4 linked regions of the Drosophila melanogaster genome follow. The protein of the gene in region 1 interacts with the protein of each later gene in a pairwise test. Each region holds a gene or a part of one and is shown on either strand. Other genes may lie near its edges.

The links.
Region 2: the proteins of CG9368 (region 1) and CG1307 interact in a two-hybrid assay, tested with the Drosophila melanogaster proteins (one large-scale study listed by BioGRID).
Region 3: the proteins of CG9368 (region 1) and CG16721 interact in a two-hybrid assay, tested with the Drosophila melanogaster proteins (one large-scale study listed by BioGRID).
Region 4: the proteins of CG9368 (region 1) and TwdlM interact in a two-hybrid assay, tested with the Drosophila melanogaster proteins (one large-scale study listed by BioGRID).

The regions. Positions count from the first base shown.
Region 1 is NT_037436.4:19,599,633-19,605,317, reverse strand, and holds CG9368 (uncharacterized protein), read right to left. Parts: upstream 3,686-5,685; 5' UTR 3,546-3,685; coding exon 3,342-3,545; intron 3,277-3,341; coding exon 3,258-3,276; coding exon of another isoform or gene 3,217-3,257; exon of another isoform or gene 2,663-3,216; coding exon 2,337-2,662; 3' UTR 1,198-2,336; downstream 1-1,197. Other genes in the region: lush, read left to right, coding at 67-288, 344-494, 555-643; Taf6 (TBP-associated factor 6), read right to left, coding at 4,099-4,408, 4,529-4,984, 5,042-5,211, 5,274-5,685.
Region 2 is NT_033777.3:6,654,833-6,659,310, forward strand, and holds CG1307 (uncharacterized protein), read right to left. Parts: upstream 2,611-4,478; 5' UTR 2,505-2,610; coding exon 2,316-2,504; intron 2,062-2,315; coding exon 1,690-2,061; 3' UTR 1,198-1,689; downstream 1-1,197. Other genes in the region: Taf1 (TBP-associated factor 1), read left to right, coding at 157-249, 377-963; twr (twisted bristles roughened eye), read left to right, coding at 3,197-3,265, 3,336-3,595, 4,171-4,348, 4,410-4,460. UniProt on the Drosophila melanogaster protein: The natural substrate for this enzyme may be peptidyl-tRNAs which drop off the ribosome during protein synthesis.
Region 3 is NC_004354.4:5,877,781-5,884,131, forward strand, and holds CG16721 (uncharacterized protein), read left to right. Parts: upstream 1-2,088; 5' UTR 2,089-2,328; intron 2,329-2,753; exon of another isoform or gene 2,754-2,889; intron 2,890-3,038; exon of another isoform or gene 3,039-3,053; 5' UTR 3,054-3,272; coding exon 3,273-3,541; intron 3,542-3,605; coding exon 3,606-4,090; intron 4,091-4,154; coding exon 4,155-4,455; intron 4,456-4,516; coding exon 4,517-4,683; intron 4,684-4,699; exon of another isoform or gene 4,700-4,746; coding exon 4,747-5,009; 3' UTR 5,010-5,611; downstream 5,612-6,351. Other genes in the region: Usp30 (ubiquitin specific protease 30), read right to left, coding at 1-25, 266-1,542, 1,597-1,678.
Region 4 is NT_033777.3:26,617,053-26,621,255, reverse strand, and holds TwdlM (TweedleM), read right to left. Parts: upstream 2,139-4,203; 5' UTR 2,090-2,138; coding exon 2,075-2,089; intron 1,998-2,074; coding exon 1,146-1,997; 3' UTR 1,032-1,145; downstream 1-1,031. Other genes in the region: TwdlP (TweedleP), read left to right, coding at 1-594.

The sequences.
Region 1 (5,685 bases):
CCACCATGATCACCTATAAAACTCTCCTACGACATGGTTACTCAACGTATTTAGCTTTCCGCCACCATGAAGCATTGGAAACGACGCTCTTCCGCTGTTTTCGCGATCGTCCTGCAAGTGCTGGTACTCCTGCTACCCGATCCTGCAGTTGCCATGACGATGGAGCAGTTCTTGACCTCGCTAGACATGATCCGCAGTGGCTGTGCGCCGAAGTTTAAGCTCAAAACAGAAGATCTCGATCGGCTTCGCGTGGGTGATTTCAACTTTCCGCCATCGCAGGATCTTATGGTGAATGCCGCTTTCATTTTGCAGGCACCAGTGTTTGAATCCTTTATCCTTTTAGTGCTACACAAAGTGTGTGTCTTTGATGGCGGGCACTGTGAACAAAAAGGGGGAGTTCAACGCTCCCAAGGCGCTGGCCCAACTTCCGCATCTGGTTCCCCCGGAAATGATGGAGATGTCCAGGAAATCCGTTGAAGCTTGTCGGGATACGCGTAACTACACCCACACTTACCTTTCATAGCTGTAAATATATGTAAGGTATATCTTTGCAGATAAACAATTTAAGGAATCTTGCGAGAGGGTCTACCAGACGGCCAAGTGCTTCTCTGAAAACGCCGATGGGCAGTTCATGTGGCCTTAAAAATGTTTCTGGAAACTAAATTCATACTGGTTCATCCTTTAATGACCAATCCTTGGATGATTGCTTTATTATCTATGTTGAAATCATCAAATAGAATTGGAATTCGTAAAACATAAATTATGACAAGAAAGGAAGTTAGCTTCAAAAAGCCGAAGTATATACTTATATACCCTTGCAGTAATATGATGTTGATTAAATTGAAACCAAAATTTATATATTAAAGACAACTTATGTATACAGAATAACATCAATTTATGATTAAAAACGACGAAACTGTAGTTTGTGTTATATTATTTCATTCGAAACTCTATTTTCCGACTATTCGTATGCCTATATGACAAAGTCGTCCAATTCTGATTGAATCAAAACTGAAATTATATATTGTCAAAGTAACAAAGAACATTTTGTTTAAATTAATTTTTCGATTATGTATATACCCGCAATCGACTGAATTCGATAAGCAAATCTTTTTTTTTGAAAACAATCTTTAATCATATATTTGAAAACCTTTTTGTAGATTAAAATGGCACCCCAAAATATAAACACGCCGCATTGATTTCAAACATGTTATAGTTTATTGCTGATATTATTAACTAAATACAACGGTTTTATGTTTGCATAACGCATACTTATACATTTTGTAATCGATAAACATCCAATTGGCTTAGCAATGCATTCAAACTTAGGGAGATCTTTGCATTCAAGAGGTTACAAAATAAATGCAAATCTTATACAAAATGGTTGCCTTGCAAATCTGCGTACAAAGTTCTCTGTAATCGAGAGTAATCGATATCTTAAATTTCGGTTTCGGTATAGGAGTAGTGTCTTTATATATGTATGTAGATCTCTCCAAAAAGGGTCTCACAAAAATATATCCGATTAGAGCGTGTGTGCGGATTAGTTGATGAATTTGATGAGGATGTTCGAGGAAACCTGTGTAAACAACTAAGAGTCTAATGACATTCACACGTATATATAGTAGTTAGTACATTGTATATAAAATCAGTACACATTAATGCTTGTATATTGAACCGTTTGTTGTTAGCTGCTTTGGTTTGGTTTGGAAATACTTTTAACTGCTACACACACACATCTAAATAGGTTGGTGGTTCCGTAGACAACTATAGTCATACACATACACATATAGTTAGGTATATAATTTGATATATCGTAGTTATAATTAGGTGGAGATTCGGGGCAAACCCTCGTCGATTCCACTGGGATTGTGTAATGCCGTTGATTGTGTTGTGCGTGGGGACCAAATAATGTCTGAGAGCTGGAGAGTGTATACAAATGTCGTATATAGGGGTTTTCTCCTTTCATAACTAGCCTAGAAGAGTTGCTTGTGCTTCGAGTTGAGTTTTCGTTAACATTACGATCTGGGATCACATTTGGGTATATCAAACAATATAGTAGAGAGCTAAAGCTTTTCCATCAGCCCTGTTCTATGCGATTTTAAGATTCCTTTGCAGGGCTTACACCATAAACTTGGTGGTCTTCAAGGGGAAGACGTAGAATTTGGTTTGTGCCTAAGACGTTTGAGCGAAGAAAATGCTTCTGGACAGGATCCATTAAGGTGGTAAGATGACAGTAGACGATTGCTGAGTAAGAGTTCATTGTTCAGGAAGGGGTTGGTGGTAATTTTGATTATGTTTTCCCATTGCATGGACAACCATTGTCCATTATAGCTAGCTTAGTCCATCAGTCGAACGCCGGCTTGAACGTCATCGGCCATGCTGACTCCCTTCTTTTTCTTGCCTTCGCCGGCGGGCTTCTTCTTGGTCAGGACTAGGGTTTCCGGCTCATTCTGCGACTGCTGACGCTTGCCATTTCCGCTGGCTCCGCCACCACCACCTCCGCCGCCTCCCCCTCCGCCGCTGTTGCTTCTCAGCTTGAAACGCGTCGTGGCCGCCGCCGCATTGTTGTTGGCGCAATTGCATATGGCATCGAAGATCCGCACCACGAATCCTCGAGCGCGATTCACCACCTTGCCGTTCTTAAAATCTGGTATGGCGAAACCTGAGAGGTTAGTGCATGCGAGGCGCAGAGAGTACAAAAATACGGAAATAAAGATCAGTGATACGCAAAATACAAGTTAAGTGCAACAAAATATGGTCATGCAATCGAGCTGGCTGGGTTTTTTGGAAAATGGGTGAAAATGGCGTGCGAATGCGTTTATATATTCTAAATTATATGCTTTCCTCAGTTTTAATTGCCATCTGTTAACAACCGTGGAGGAGGCCCACAACGGTCGCCCTGTCATCAGTTAGTTAGGTCAGCCCACTTTTATCAAACAAGTTACAACATTACGCGACAGTTCTCTTAATTTCAGCACGAAGATTATACTTTCCTAAATATTTGCAATATTTGAGATTTAGACCTCATCCACCAACTTTTAGCCTAGGCACTCTTAGGTGTCAAGCGAGTTCATTGCCACGAAAGTCATCGATACAAAAATACTTAAGCAAGACTAAGAAAAGGATTTGTGCACAAGTGTCTATTCAGCGGCCAGCACTTGGCAAGGGTTTGCGCTGAAGTGCTCGAAAGGGAAAAGCAATACACTATCCAAATAGCTAAGAAGTGAAATGTACTGAACCACACTGCGTATACTTACTCGGTCGTTTTTCCTTGCCCTGCAAGGGAAGTTACAAGTTAGTTCAGTTAGCTCGAAAACGAATATTAGATATGTGTGGTCAACCTGTTGCGATTTCTGGCTCTCAACTGCCCGCCTGTTCGCCTCCGTCTCAGCCCGCAGGAGCACATCGTCGAGCGCCTCCCGCAACGCGGCCATGTTCTGGGGATTTTGCTTGAAGGCCTCAATCCGCGCCTCCAGTGACTCCGTTTCGATTCCATCAACGCTGTCCGGAGACGCTGGCTCGGGATCCGCAAATCTGGCATGCATCTTTCCTGGGTTTTTGTGAGAATTCCTTTTTATCCTTTGAAAATGCTGCCAGAAGCGTTTCGAGCTTTGCCTTTGTCCTGCGATGGGTATCTACAAGGAGTGCTGAGCAGAGCTCTTTGTGCGTTCACCCAGCAATGCGCTGGAGAAATCAATAGCAAGCCACTTGGGGGCCCATACCCGCACATGCGTGCTGACTGCGTGGGCAAGCTTTCGATTTGTGGGGTGGGAGAGCAGTCAGTTGATTTCAACAGTTCGTTATTTACAGAACTGTAGCTTAATATTTCTATGGGAAATCCTTAAATAATGTTTTTTTTTTTGCTTGCTAAGAAGAACTAAATCCATTTTACACAAAACGTGTGAAAATAATGATTTAATATTCTTCCTATTTGTGTGGTTACATTTTTTTGGGGTAGGAACCCGCATTTTTTATTTTATTGCATACAATATGACAAAATGTGGACTACGAACTAAGCTGGCTACTCCAGGTGCGAGAGATCGTCCAGCTCGGGCGGTGCGCGCACAATCTCCGTCTCAATGATCAGCGAGTTGGCGTCTAGGATGCTCTGAAAGATTGAACTGTTATACCATCAACTGCTGGCGCTTCGCTACCGGCAATAACACACACATTATCGCTGCTCCGCTGTGCAGCCGCTAGTAGACTGCCGCTCGAGCTTGAGTTCGAATTGGAGGCACTGGCAGCGTTGGAGGCCGCGGAGAGGACCACGCTGTGCGGAGAGCTGCCACGCCGCACCACCTTCGCCTGGCCCTGCTGCGGCGAGTTCTGGGTGACTATCACAAACTTTTGCGCCGGCTGGTTGGCCTGAATGGCTCTTATTTGCGGCAGGGACGAGACTCCGGGACTTCTAAAACAAAAGAATATTTAACCGCTTAGTAATGGGCATAAAAAGACATGTCAACATGGTTTCCATTAGGAATCAAATGCTTGGCTGGAATTTTATTTTATGCTTAAAAGTGTTATTTACCCCTGTCTCTGTGTGGTGGGCATGGACACTCGTCCGATGGTTGTTGCTGTTTGTGCTGCACTCGTGATGGGTGCCGTGTTGATAGTGTTGGATGACAGGGTTACAATGCTTGAGGCGGGCGCATTTCGAACTTTGACTACTGCCTGGCACAGCGACGGCCCCAGGAAGCCAAAGTCGTTCTTGTAGTCCTCCGCTGTATCTGGCGCTGAGCGCATTTGCCTGAGAATCGGGGGACAGCACTTCTGAAGCATGGCGCGGATGTGACCTGCTGCTGTCTTGTCAGTGTTGCTGATGGAGGTGCCGAGCAGGTGAGGTTCAATGCGCTCCGATATGAACTTAAGGCGGGGTATGATGAAAACCTTTATGACTTCGCCCCCCAGCTCCGAGAGACCCGCAATAGAGCCGTAAAGCGAGGACAGGTGGGTCTTGTCGTTCTGCAGGGCCTTGCTGAAGATGCTGAAGGTTGGGAAATGGATGTTAAAAGGTTATTTAATTTAAGTGGATGTGATTTACCGGGTGACACGGGTTTGCAGATTGTTGGTTAGGGTATTGAAGTTCTTGCAGATTTGAGCCATCAGTCGGGAGGCAAAGTCTCGCAGGGCCCAGTGATTGTCCAGCTCGGGGCGCATACACAGCTGTTTGGACACAATGCACGTCATCACCGAGGGTATCAGTTCGTGGAGCTATGCGGAGACAACATCGTTTTTATGAGAAACAAAGAACAATACAATAAGAAATTTCTTACGTATTTCTCCAGAAACAGCGAAGGATTATCCAGAAGCGCACGAACCATGCGCATGAGGTAAATAAGCAACGCCAAGTTGTTCTGAACCACATTGACCTTAACTCCCTCGGCAATGAAGGTGCACATGCGGGGAAGCATTTCGTGCAGGCCAGGATCGGATCCCAGCGACTGCAGCGCTTCCCCGCGCCGCGGCTCATCAGATCCCACGCACGCCTCGGTGATCTCCTTGTAGTACAACTGCTGCTCCACGGACAACTCGTGCGTGGCCAGTTGCTTGACATGAATGGTCTCCACGTTTTTCAGCTTGTGTATCTTGCCGGTGGTGGGTTTGCCTGCCGCATCTTTGTTTAGGCCTTGATCCATCTTAATAACTGGATTGACCGAGTCCAGTAACTGGGAATCCTTCGAGAGC
Region 2 (4,478 bases), on another chromosome or scaffold:
ATTCACAATTAAATTCCATTAAAAATTGTCACTTCTTTATGTTTAATACGGTTCTTGGCACGCGCTTTGAGGATTAATACTAATCTAGAAAACACTTTAATTCGCTGACTGTTTGGATTTTTTCTGTTTCTGATTTTACCCAAATCACCTAAGCAGAGGAGCCGATCGGCGAGGATGACAGCCAGCAGGTGGCCGAAGCAATGGTGCAGTTGAGTGGCGTGGGCGGCTACTATGCTCAACAGCAGCAAGGTCTTTATTATCCTTACTTCGTGTTTGTGTTGTGCCCTCGATGTCCATGTCCCCACACCTTTAATCCCATATATGATTAGGACTTTGAGTACGCTCTTTCTAATGCGTGTTTTCAAAAACATTTCAGATGAATCCATGGATGTGGACCCCAACTACGATCCCTCAGATTTCCTCGCCATGCACAAGCAGCGCCAGAGCCTCGGCGAGCCCAGCAGCTTGCAGGGTGCTTTCACCAACTTCCTATCGCACGAGCAGGATGATAATGGGCCTTACAATCCCGCCGAAGCCAGCACAAGTGCCGCTTCCGGTGCAGACTTAGGAATGGACGCTTCAATGGCCATGCAAATGGCGCCGGAAATGCCTGTCAATACCATGAACAACGGAATGGGCATCGATGATGATCTGGATATTTCGGAGAGTGACGAGGAAGACGATGGTTCTCGAGTGCGTATCAAAAAGGAGGTCTTCGACGACGGGGATTACGCCTTGCAGCACCAGCAGATGGGACAGGCAGCATCGCAGTCGCAGATATACATGGTGGATTCGTCCAACGAGCCCACGACTCTCGACTACCAGCAACCACCGCAACTGGACTTCCAACAAGTGCAGGAAATGGAGCAGTTGCAGCACCAAGTGATGCCACCAATGCAATCAGAGCAACTGCAGCAGCAACAGACGCCGCAGGGAGACAATGATTATGCCTGGACTTTTTAGTGATAGGGAATAATTGTTAGTTGTTAGAAAATAAAACGTCGATTTAATAATAGGATTGAGCTTCGCTGTGAAACAATTTTATACACTTTTTACAATGCATTGTTTTAACGGATTTTGAAATACTACAATATGTTCTCTGAAAAAATATTTCCTTTTCATGCCAATATGTTTTTAATTATACACTTTACAATTTATGAAATCTAATTCAAAATATGTTTTTAAAATATAATTTTCATAACTTTAAATAATGCCTAGAAACAAACAAGTGTCACCATTACTTTTCAAAAGACCCTGATATTTTCTGAAAAGAAATAGACCAAATACTGTGGGAAGCTAGATATAATCTTAATGAGTAGACACATTTCATTTTTCAAATATATGTTAGTAAAGGATTTACCAAAACACAATAGTTTTGGAAAAAGGAAATACTCTACAGGGACTTAATTACTTGAGCTAGGATTTTACCACTTGAACCCCTACAAAAACGCTTCGGAGCTTTGCAGTTCCAGGCCGGACTGTCAATCGTTTAATGTTTAATAGCTCGGTTCACAGTTAATGTAATAACGTAAATCTTAGCTTAGCTTGCATGTCACAGTCGTCCTCCACCCGGTGGCCTTAATCTTTCAACCGCTCCACCGGTGCGCCGTATTGCTTTGTGAATTGTCGGGTTGCACTTGAGTGAATTAGTAATGCCAATGGCCTGTGAGAGTTTCCGAAGTGCGGATCTTACAGCAATTTCAGGTGGCCGGTAACCCGGTCGATGTCGGCGGCAGCCGCTGGACCCACGGCCAGCACAGTCTTGGAGTTGGCCTCTATTTGTGTGCGACCGGCGTCGCGGATGAGACACGTGTTCAGTTGCTGTCTCTCGGCCTCCTTCTTGATGGCCATCAGCTCCGCCTCGCTCTCCACGCGAACGGCTATCTTGGCGCAACCGCAGTTCTCCCACGACCGCAGTAGTCGAGGCGTCCTGACCACCGCCCGCTGGTAAGCACCCACCGCTCCGTGGCCACACTGGGCGGCAATTTTGCCCTTGCCCATCTTGAGATCGTTGCGCACCACCAGGACCATCTTAAAGTTGTCGTTCAAGCCTCCATAGCCCTGCAATGTTTAGAAAATTAGCGTTGGTATTATATTATTATAATGTGTATGTGCTATATACTTATGTTAAAAAATCATACTTTAAACTATGTAAAGTAGGACTTTTGAAAACTTCTACCGTACAACAAAAAATGGCACTGCTATTATTGTGACCCCAAGTGTATGCGTTCAATGATGCATTTGGGTCTACAACAAGTTCAGAGTACTAGGTGGATTGGGGCCATTGAATGCCTACCGAGGGCTTTCCTTCTCACCTTATCCGAAACTGAAGCCTCGGAACCGCTAGACACCGAAGATTCCTGCGAGAACGGGGTCGCCGCTCCCTCGGTGACGGAGTCCTTGGCATCGCCTCGCTTCAGGGCGTATCGGTAGCCCACGAAAAAGGACAGCATCACAGCCAGCCCATTGATGATCTGCGTCGGATCCAGCAACTTGTCGCCCATCTTTCTCCGCTTAGTTGATATTATATTTCGCGAGAAAACACCACCGATGGCGCTCACTTCACGTTTTCGCTTGCGGTCACACCAATTGCGGAAAACGTTACTGTCAAATTGTGGTGGCAGCTCGCTTATCGATTGCTTGGTGTGGCAGCACTGTAGCGTATGGGATACTCTTTAATTTTTACCGTTAACTCAGGAATATATTTAAGAACTATTACGAACGCTATTAATTCGAATTTTTGCCACTACGATATATATTATATAATATTACTATGTATTAATAAAGGTTAAGATGCCTCTAATGTGCGCAATTGGTAAGTTATAGGAATAAAAATGGTGATTTATAGTACAGAGTGACCTTTAATCTTAGAACTTCTGAAACATTTATAAGGTAAACACGAAGACCAGAATAAAAGACTAACTTGAACCAACGCCGGGAATTAAATAATGTTTATACCCAAAAAAAAAAAAAGTCACAAAAGGCGGGAGTTTTTGGGAAACAATAGTGTGACCGAACAATAGTTGCACAAAGATCATCACGCACCCGTCACACACCGTCTGGCAACTCGGCCTAAACATACGTGTCGGAAATTTTCTGTCTTCGTGGACGAAGCCGAGAAGTTTTGTTAAGGACCTTTTCAATTGCATTTAAAAAGGCTATTTCCTCCACAAGCACCGCAATAACAGCCGCAGCCATGGGCGTAGCCAGCATGTTGCAGATTGACGAGATGCTGGGCGACTTCAACAGAATGAACAAGCGTCAGGTGAGCAGCGCCGCTTCTCCGGGCAATGCACCCATATATCATCCTGATTCGTGCCCTTTCCCTCCCGCAGTCGCTGTACCAGGTGCTGAGCTTCGCCATGATCGTCTCCTCGGCGCTGATGATCTGGAAGGGCCTGATGGTGGTCACCGGCAGCGAGTCGCCGATCGTTGTCGTGCTCAGTGGCAGCATGGAGCCGGCTTTCCACCGCGGCGACCTCCTCTTCCTCACTAACTACAAGGAGGAGCCGGTGCGCGTCGGCGAGATCGTCGTCTTCAAGGTGGAGGGCAGGGACATACCCATTGTACACCGCGTCATCAAGCTGCACGAAAAGTGAGTTTCCTGGGGCTACGGATATGGAAACCAATCCCAGAAAGCGTCTTTAAGATGAATGGGGCATGATGTCGTACTGGGTGCTTGCTGTTCAAGTAGGCATTTTAACATCTCTGATCGGTTAGGTGGAATGAGCATCATAGTTTCTAATCGCCAGGGGAAGGAACTAAATTAGTGCCACTTTTGTGTAATGCTATTTTTTTAACTATTTGAAATCCTTGTGCACATGAAATGTTATGTAAATTTGTGGACCTCCCTTAAGCTCGTTTATGAGAAGGTGCATGGAACACAGTGGCTAGTAAAAGTTTTCCTACAGCAGTGAAGGCAAAAAGGAATTACATATTTTCTAAAAGGGATTGAAAATAGCTCACATGCCGTATGGAATAGATCATTTTTTATTTTAGATACAATTTGTAGTTTTAGGACACGTCATTAAGTTAAGCTTGTGTTTCGTTGTCTTAAAACATTGTTGTTTTATATTTAGTCACGGGCCAAGATTCCTTTTTATTGTATTCTGTATGATTTCCTTTTGGTTTGGTTTGGTCCCATATAATCCCAATCAATCTTTTCTGCAGAGAGGACGGATCCGTCAAGTTCCTGACCAAGGGCGACAATAACAACGTGGACGACCGGGGCCTGTATGCACCCAACCAGCTGTGGCTGACCAAAAAGGACATTGTGGGCCGGGCCAGGGGCTTCCTGCCTTACGTGGGCATCATCACGATCTTCATGAACGAATATCCCAAGGTTAAGGTAAGTTGAAGGACGTTTGTGTTTTTTTTTCGCCACTAAGCCCGAATTTGCAACTTTTCAGTGGGCCATTCTCTCTATTTTGGCCATTTTCGTGCTGCTGCATCGGGAGTAGATGGGATCGCTCTTATTT
Region 3 (6,351 bases), on another chromosome or scaffold:
TTGTCGAGCCCCAGGGAGTGCCAGCCTGTAATCATGAGCAAAAGTGTTTGTTTTAACAATATGCTAGTTACTAAATGTAAACAGTTCTTGAATTGAATGCCACTACTCTTTGTACACCAATTAGAAAAGGAAAGACCTATATTCTATAGATATATCCTATACATATATATCCTTTAGATATATGTATTTAAATGATCATATATAAGGATAATTTTTACAGGGGAAGTTTGTTATTCTGGGGCAAACATATGCAACACACGCTCACCTGGCTATTGAGATGCGGCTGCACGAAGCTGTAGGGCGCCATGGAGAGGCTCTCGGGGAAGTGTACATAGTCCTTCCGCTTGCACACCTGTCCAGTTGGCAGCCACACCGTCCGCGCCACATGGATGCACAGGCAGGCCGGTAGTTTAGCGAACGTAACCGATTTGGTGTGCGTGGTGGTCTCGTTGCAGGAGTCACACTTGACATCGCTCAGATCCTCCGATGTGATATACTCGCTAAGCAAGTGGCCCAAACTCAAGCCAGTTCTGCGTTGCGGCGGCAGATTTAGCGTTATGCTGTCGAACTTATCGTACCGAACGGCCGACTTGGAGCCGCAGCCATTGCACACGATCTGTGCGCCCATGGCGCCCTGAAACGGATGCGCCACTTGGCTGGGCATCATGTTGGACCAGATGGACACCCGACCTGGTCCGCGATGCAGGCGCTCTAGCGATCGACAGGAGCTGGACACCCGGCGATTCAGACCCTCATCCTGCTGCTGTTGGGATTGTGGAAGTCGCGGTCGCGACGAACGCTCGCCGCCCAACATAGGCGTAGCCAAGGAATCCGGATTGCTGACGAGCGGAAAGCCAAAGGGTGTCCCTGGCGAAACGGCATCCAGAAGCACGGATCCCAGGCGATCGTTTCCGTCGCGTTCGCAAACAGAGGCAGGCGAATCCGGTGTGTGGGCCTCGGAACGCACCAATCGCTGCAAACTGGTGCTCTCATCATACTCCATGTTTAAGAAATCAGTGAGCATGGCACTGGAGGGCCGGTTCGGTTGATCCCCGATCCTCTGGCTGGCTCCCAGTCCCGCTGCCATGGAGCTAAATGATCGAAAGCCCCCTACTGGCGTTGCTGTGCCTGCCAAGCTGCTGTTATCATCGTTATCCGTGGGCAGAGCATCCGACAGACAGCCGAGGGGCTGTGGTCGTATGGCCTCCTCCTCCAGGCAGGTCAATAGCACGTGGAACAGCTCGTGGGCGTCGTGCTCCTCCTGTGGAATCACCCAGCCCAGGGCATTCAGAGCCCGGAGAACGGCTCCCGGTGAATAGGGATCGCCGCGCAGAGTGGCATGGGTGCCATTGACCACTTCCAGAGTGTTTAACATCGACGTAATTAAGCTTTTTCGATCCGGCGAGGCGTTGTTGTACAATTGCAGCCAGGCAATGAACTGGGGACAGGCGGCCATCGCCTGTAGCAGGGTGTTTAGGAAGCAGGTCAGTCCAAAGTTGTGGAGACCGGCAATTTGGCCGCGTCGTTGACGCAAACGGGAACCTGCAAATGTTTCGCTGGAGTAGGGAACTACGCCATGGAAGATCTACTACTCACCCGAAGGACCCCAGAAAACGAAGGCTCCGACTACGGCGGCTACCGTCACTCCGGCGGCCATTAGAATCTTCTCGCTCTCCATGGCTTGAGATTTCCGATGGCTGGTTTTCCGGTGCAGATCACTGCGGTACCGGGAACTCCCAATCCCGCCGCCAAAATCGCACACAGACTAACTCTAGTTAGGAATTTAGACCGAAAAAATTTTTGTGTCTCTTGATGTGTTGCAAAGCGATTCAGTTGTTAACACCACAACGTGCGGCCATTACGCAACACTGGCGCGCAATTATCGTTAAATTTGCAGAGAAAATCAAGTATTTTAAAATTCAACCGAATCGTTGTACATGTGAATGTTTCTACTATAAGCATTAAACAAACATAAGTTTGACAGCTTAAATTTGTAAACGTAGAATATATTTCCCATACTATTGTATCGTCTATCGATAGCGACGATTTGATCAACTTTCGATAGGCACCTCGAACAGCTGTGTGGAAAGGGGATTGTAATAAAGGAAAACAAAGTAGGCACAACAACCAAAGTTTTCAATCGAAACGGAAACATTCGGATATCAGTCGTCGTTCTTAATAGTTCAGATTAGAATAAAAATCCTCCTGGAGGAGCATAATTGAGTGAAAATTAACTGCAAAATTTGTCTGTGATTGTGGAAAGTGAATCAGCTGTTTGGGAAAAGTAAAACGGAATACTCTGGAACCTTCTCGTCGTTTCTTCCTATTGTAAGTATTCGGATTGGCTTTCATCTTGTTTTAATGCAGCCACTTTGCATCGTCCTTGTGTCTATTTCCCAATTTTCCAATTTTCCCCAGCTGACTTGCTGCGCAATAGGAAAAGCAACAACAACGAAACATAAATACATACACACACATACACACACTCGCATGGACCTAATCGCTTCTGTTTTTGTTGCTACTTTATTGCGCCGTTTGTTTATGTCGTCTATTCGCTGCGTGGCCGTTGTGCAATTTGCTCCCATTTTCCACATTTAATTTTGGAATCTGTGCCACGCAGCTTGCCAAATTACATATTCTAGAAAATTTGAGAATTTTCGAAAGTGTTACATTTTATTTCCATTCAAATCTTTTGCGCCTTCTCTCCTTGTCGCACATTCATACATGCAAGCAGACGCGCACTTGTTTGCTCATTTGTGTGTGTGTGCGAGTCACGTTTAACGGGTTCCTTCCGTGTGTTTGTTTACAGTGGGTATTGGCTAATACCTATTTCGAAAATAACAATTGAAACACTATTTTTGGTTGAGAAATATGCGCACACAGCAACAGGTTATTGAAAATTGGTTATGTGTTGCAATTATAAACCTAAAAATATTTTCCTGCCAACTCTTCTATATGAAAATCGATACTAATATGAGAAACCGCATCAAGGAATATGGAAGAGTAACTTGTATCTTGCGATCACTGTATCTAAGACCCCCTTTCTTTCCCAGGCGAACTGACCCCGAGCGGAGCTTTAGCGACGACCTCGAACAAAGAACAAAGAAAGCCCGAGTGCAGTTGCCAATTGCCTTGTAATAATCACCAAGCCATATATACAACTGGCTCTAACCGGTGGTAACCAAATTCGCATTTGGTCGAAACCAGTTGCTGCAGCTGCCTAACGTCGCACTTCCGCCCGTGAGGAGACAACAAAGGACTGGAATTTGAATATGGATGCCCAGGAGAATAGGAGTGAACAGTCGGGACAATCGGGCGACCACGAAGAGCACGAGGAGCGCCGGATCCGTACGGACAGCGAGAGTTCCGTGGAAAGCATGACGCGTTTCGTGCTGCCCAGCTTGGATGGTACTCCGCCGAAAATTGTGACCCTGGACGAAGTGTCCAGCATGTTCAAGAATTTGCGCAACATGGAGCTGGCCCACGAGATAGCCCTCAATCCGGACTTCAAGCTGCAGAAGTACGAGCCGCCCTCGGATAGGTGAGCATGTGCCAGCAGCAGCCCTGTCAGGGAAACCATTCAATTAACATTCCCATGTCCACAGTTTGGAGGGCGCCATCAAGAAGATGGTGCACAAGGCCTTTTGGGATCTGCTGCGTGTGCAGCTGGACCGCCAGCCGCCATCGTATGATCAGGCCATCCGGCTGCTGGCTGAGATCAAGGAGTGCTTCCCGCAGCTGCTGTCGCCCAACAACGAACGTGCCCTGGCCCACATCAACGAGGTGCTGGATGACTCCGTCATCCGCCAGCAAGCGGAGCGGGGTACCCTGGACTTTCGAGCATATGCCAACTTTGTGATCAACATCCTGTCGCGATCCTGTTCGCCAGCTAGGGACGAAGCAGTGGCCGCTCTGCGCAAGATCGACGATGTGGTGGACACGTTTCGCTGCATTCTCGAGCTGATGACGCTGATGAAGCTGGATATGGCCAACTTTATGCTTCGACTGGCGCGCACCGAAATCGCTGCCAATTCGGTGCAGTATGAGAAGGAGAAGTTTAGCAAGTACTTGCGCGAGTTCCATGGAAATGGTGGGTTGTTGGCCAAAAAAAAAACTACAATGCCTTTATTTATTGGGAATGCCATTATTTCCAGTTGGTTTTCCGGCCACTGAGGATTGGCTGCAGCGTCACCGGTCCGGTAGCAGCGATGATGAGACCATTTACAATGCCTACATGCAGCTGATTGACTATCCGGCCGACAAGGAGTTCCCGGAGCTGTTGCGCATCGACAAAGAGCGCTTCGCCGGCCTAAGTTGGCGAGCCCAGCGCTTGATCCTGTGCGCCTCGCTCATCTCGGTGGCCCAGGGCATGCCTATCATATCGCAGCGCCGCGAGAACCGCATCAAGCTGGCCCAGCAGCTGGACATCATTGTGCAGGACATCAAGAACCAGGAGTGAGATACCTCGTGCTCTAGCCGAGCGCTGTTTTAACCCTTCTTCAACCTCAATTCACAGCCAAGTGGCCTCTACCATTGAGAGCTGCTACGAGCAGATTCGCTCCTTTGTGAACAAGGCCCTGGAGCAGGAGAACTTGCCTGCGCTGAGTGATGCCGACCAGGCGGCGCTCAAGAACCAGGTGCTTAAGCTGGCCAACAAGACGTCGCCGGTGCCCAGTTTGATGGGTGAGTTTACTCGTTTATGCAATACAATGTATTTTATATTCAATTCACGTAAATCGCTTGCAGCCAAACGATTGGATGGCTATGTGCGCGTAACACTGCGCTCCAATGGCAGCATTCCGCCGCCGCCCTCAGGATTCGCGGACTACCAAGAGGAGCTGGTTGCATTTATCGCCTCGTTCCGTCGTCTGGTGTCCTACAACCACGCCGTGTTCGGGGAGCACTTCCACCAGATACTCAACAAAACGCTGCCCGGTGAGGAAACGGAGGCTACCACTTCCACGGCCAGTGGCATAAATCCTGGCCAGGCTCAGACTGCCAAGCCTTAGGTGGATTTGTCTACCGTCTTAGGCAACACAAGATACCAGTATACAACACTCAGACACACCTGTAGGCGAACAACAGATCTGGCGGAGATCTGCATGATGTTAGGGCAACCGGAGTGGCGGATAGCATCTTCCGTGTGGAGGAGGAGGGATTCCGCATTCCGCAGCTGCTTTCCCATGTGACGTGACACTTGCGTAGAAAATTTGACGCACGCACCCGTAACCACCAAGTAGAAATGAGTACTCCAGATGCAAATCCCCCTGCAAAAAAGCCAGTGGGATCCGAGGCATCTGAAAGGAATCAAAAATGTGCTGGAGCGTCTGTGATAACAAGAATATTCAACACAAAATTCAAATTTTTGGGGGTTAAGAAAAGTGAACTCGTGAATTATGTGTGCTCCTCAATTTTCGTAATGTAAACCCCCTCTTTATAGTACATACATATATATATATATTATGATTATACACGTGTACCCTAACCCCGGACTAATCCTATATCTTAGACCTTTGTGACCGTAACTCCCATTGAATTTATTTTGATTGTTTCGATTGATTAGCAGTGTTTCGACTGAATCTTCACGAATATATCTATACCTAGTTTACCGAAATTCAAAGTAAATGAATTCAAGTGATTTCATCTTTTTGGTGCGGAAGGGAAAGGTACATCATCTAATTTGTGTGATGTGATTGGATTTTAATTTTGCGAATTAACGAGAAATTATTTAAAATATGCGACATCGCTATGAATTTGAATCTAAGAGGTTGCCAGATCGGGGTAAAATGTAGAAAGTCCGCCAGATGGCGGCACAGCATGAAATAGTTCGCTAGATGGCGTCTTGCTAACGGATTTCTATTTCGTACCAGATTCGAATTACATTTCCATTATTTAAGATTTAATTAATGATTTGGTTACCCACTGATTCCAATATAATAAATTCAGTGAAATAGGTTAAATTTTAAATATCTAACAACTGGCCTTGTCGACATTAAAGCCCATGACCTCGCCTCGCATTCATTTGCAATTTTAGTTTCGTTTTCGGTTTACATTTTCACCGATTTGCCTTCGCAATGGATTACAGTATAATTCGCTTAGCTGCATCGATAGTTAGCTGCATCGGCAAGATATCTGCATTATTTTTCCATTTTTTTGTGTGAATAGAAAATAGAAAATAGAAAAAAAAAAATTAAGTTAGCTGCATTTTTAAGTTACCTGCATCGAGGCATTGTGCAAAGTACTCGAGGCAGCTAAGCGAATTATACTGTATTTGGACTATCTATGCGCAGCAAGTGCAAAAAAGGGAATTTATGTATAAGGTATTTTACTTTGATCACAAAAATTGGAGAT
Region 4 (4,203 bases), on another chromosome or scaffold:
GGACAAGGTGCGACAACCAGTATTGGGGGCAGTGGTGTATCCCCAGTCCCTGCACTGGCGGGACCAGTTAGCTATAGTGCCGCTCCCCAGGCGTCAGTTCACAAGGAGTTCTACAGCTTCTATGCCAACGATGACGACTTCGAGGATAAGGCTGCTCTCCAGAGGGCTCTTGCCTCGGTCAAGAAGAACATTCGCGTCATCTTCATCAAGTCGCCGGAGAACCGTGGCTACGAGAATGCCGTTTTGGCCCTGGCTAAACAGGCGGCCCAGCAGCAGACTGCCATATATGTGCTGCACAAACAGACTGATATCAACGAGCTGGCCCAGAAATTCAATGCCGTGCGCCAGAATGCCAACAAGAAGCCCGAGGTGCACTTCGTCAAGTACAGGACACCTGAGGATGCTGCCAATGCCCAGCGGGCAATCCAATCGCAGTACGATCAACTCGGCGGCTCCAGCCAGTCCATCAACGGTGGCGTGGCTAATGCCATCAACTTTGCATCCCAGGGAGCTGCTCCAGCACGCGTTACTCCTCAACAGGTGCCCCAGAGCAACTACCTACCCGCCAACATCCTGAGTCGCCTGCGTCACTAGAAAATCGATTGTTAAACGTTGTTTTCGAATAAAAGTTATCTAATTTGGTTATGTAAATTATTGTATTTTCATTTGGTTAATTCCTTTAAAAATTGACGAAAGCAACATAAGTATGCAACAGTTTTCAAAATAAATTGTATACCTATTTATAGCAGCGATAATCGAATAAAAACAGAAAGAAAGAAGAAAGAAGAAATAAAAATACTTGTTCAAAACCCAAGATCTCAGCAGCCATAAACTGGTATTAAATTTTGAATATGGTTAAAGTATAAACTAGTTCCTAAGAAATATATAAGTGCTTCTACTTATGTGCGCTTTCAAAGTTTGCAAGAAAATATTTCGCTGCAAATAAATCCGAACTTGCGAAGTTTCGTTCCCAATGAACTCAGCCTGCAAAGTTTTTTGGTTTTTACAAATGCACTACAACAAGTCAAATTGGTTTTAAAATTTAAGAATTGAATTTATTTAAGCATTAGTCAACAAAAACTACGATTTAATATCAGTCAAAAATCGCTGGCGTTTTCGATTCCGAAAGGAGTGAAACGAGCGACTTAGACGCGACGGAAGACCGAAGATGGCAGGTAGGAGTTGTCGGGGCTCTGGGCGGCGGCCTGACGCACTGGAGCGGCGGAAGCGAAGTTCAGGACGGGGGCAACACCACCGTTGTGGGCCTGGCTGGATCCTCCCAGCTGGTCGTACTGACCCTGGATGGCGCGCTGGGCGTTGGCAGCGTCCTCGGGAGTGCGGTACTTGACGAAGTGCACCTCGGGCTTGTTGTTGTTGTTGCTGCGGATGGCGTTCAGCTTGTTGGCCAGATCTCCAATATCGGCCTGCTTGTTCAGGACATAGATGGCGGTCTCCTGCTGGGCAGCCTGCTTGGCGAGGGCCAGGGCGGCGTTCTCCAGGCCACGGTTCTCGGGTCCCTTGATGAAGACAACGCGCAGGGCCTTGTTCAGGGCAGAGGACACACGCTCCAGCTGCTGGGGCTCATCGAAGTCCTGCTCGTTGGCGGTGAAGGTGAAGAACTCCTTCTCCAGCTCGGCGGTTGGGGCAGGGGCGTTGTAGGAGACGGGGGCACTGAGGGCGTCACCACCACCAATGCTTCCGATGCTGCCAATGCTTCCACCACCAATGCTGCTCAGACCACCCAGACCGGCACCGCTTCCGATGCTGGCTCCAATGGAACCACCACCAATGGATCCTCCGATGCTGCCGCCTCCGATGCTGCCGCCTCCGATGCTGCCGCCTCCGATGCTGCCTCCTCCGATGCTGCCTCCTCCGATGGAGCCACCTCCAATGCTGCCACTTCCAGGAGCAAAGGACAGTCCGGAGCTGGAGTGTCCCACGGGCTGGTAGTTGTAGCCGAGCTTATCGGCGCAGGCGACTGCCACCAAGCACATAACCTGGAGATAAAGAAAACAGCATTGTAATCCTTGGTATCCTTTTGGAGTATTTCGTCGGCGATCGAACGTATACTTACAATGAAGGCACGCATTTTGAATTTAGTTCTTTGACTTTGACCACTTGGTTGTGTCTGACGTTTGCATCACCGAAAGGTCCAATATTTATACGAAAACCAACGATCGGTGTCACTAAACTGCGCTCAAGTTCATGCAGACTTTACCATCGTTGTATTTGTTGGCTCCGCAGCATTTTTTGGTAACTTCTTCGGCAGCTTTTGTCTCTTGAAATGCTATCCACCTTCGAAAAACGAAGCTTGTGCGATAAAACAATGGCCAAGCCGACGTGAACAAAGCGCATCGATACCTGGCCGCCCTATTCTTGCAAATGTTGGCGTCGACATTATGCTAATTCCACGATCCCTCAGTCCAAGTCGTAGTACCATCATCGAAAATTTTTAGGCACACGACCCTACCCGTCAAGTTGTAATCCAATAGAGCAGGCTCTCGGCGGAGGAAACGGCTGAAAACTCGTTTAGCAAAAGCCACTACTATAAATGGTCATGCTTTCAGTAAATGAAATGATTTTCTTCATATTTTGTATGCTAAAACATTTAGCGGAGCATCCAAACGAGTTCGAAAACGACTCGGTTTTTCTACACTTTTTAGTTGATCCAGCCGCATATTTCTAGCTGGGAATCCCCAGCGATTATTGCGTCCCCCTTTGGTATTTGGAATATTGTATATGGTATATGGTATGGTATGGTGTATGGTGTATGGTGTATGGAACTGGCTGCTCTAGGGTTTGGCCATATAAAACCCGAACACTGGACTGTGGACTGTGGTAGGGTTGAAAAACAATGGATCTGAAATGGATAGAAATCAATTTTCGCCAGCCTTTTTGCGCATCCATTCATTCATCCGTCCATCTATCCGACGGCCCATCTGTCCATTTGTCCGGAGCTCGTCGCTTGGCCATTTAACCTGTGGCAAAAACACGGCTTCGCAAAATAGAAGCCATAAAGCTAACAACCGTTGCGACCTTGAGGTTTTTTACTGTTGACCAGCACCCGAAGCTATTCGGAATTCGGCGGTAATCAGCTGGCGCCAGGCGACCATTTAATCTGATCAGCGATTATCACGTTTTTCATCATGGTTTATTGATATCATAAAAATTATGGTTTTTTATTTTATTTCGGCAAAGTTTTCGAGCAGAAGGGGGGTAGAGGCAGCAGCAAATCCGCTGAAAACTGATTTGATTTGCATAATTTAGGAGAAATACCCAAGATCCATATTTAAGATAGCCGAACCGATTTGCAAATCAATAGTGGCGAATGCCAATCGCGGTTATGACTAATATATATATTGATTGATATCACGGATAACTATAGCGATGAGTAACTCGAAGATGGGGTCAGTTAGGAAATCCGCTAAGACATCACAACCATGATATCATTTTCAGTGACGGACACACACAAGTTCTATATGGTTCTATATCTAATGATGCTATATGATGCCCCCCATTCCACGCTGGCCGGGATCCAATTAAGATTCACATTCGAAGCAATAACCTAAAGTCAAAAACAATTTGTCTTGGCTTTGTGTGCGGCCCCACCTTTTGCCCACTGCCAACTGTTGCGGCTCGCCGATTGGCCAGCATCTCAGCCAAGTTAGTCGCTGGTGGCAATGTCATATGCAAACTAATCAAATGTAAGCATAATAAAACAACCCAGCCACAATTTCAAGGTCTCGGGCGCCACACGCACATAAAAGATGCACGCAGCAGCGACATAAAAAGTGGTCAAAACGCGGGAAAAGAGTTTCCAGCACGAAATCGAAGATAATAGCGGTCGGACGACGTTGGCGTATCAATAAATAAATAAAAAAAAAACGGCTCAAGCGGACAAAAAACATCTACGGGAGGGAATTTCTGGCACCACTTTATGTAAATGGCCTTTTGGGTCAATCGATCTATTTACAAAATCTGACACTGTTTATTATTTTATCCATTATTTTTAGTCTTTCTCTCTTCGAGACAACAAGACTGCCCCTATATTATTTTATTGCCATTGTACTGGCACCCACCAGAATGTCGAAACGAATAAAATTGTGCATTTAATTTATTCGGCTATCACCTGGCTGGTGTCAAAACCGGGCGGTGCCTTTCAGGTGCAAAAATCCAATCAAATCTGTCGCCTCACCATAAATT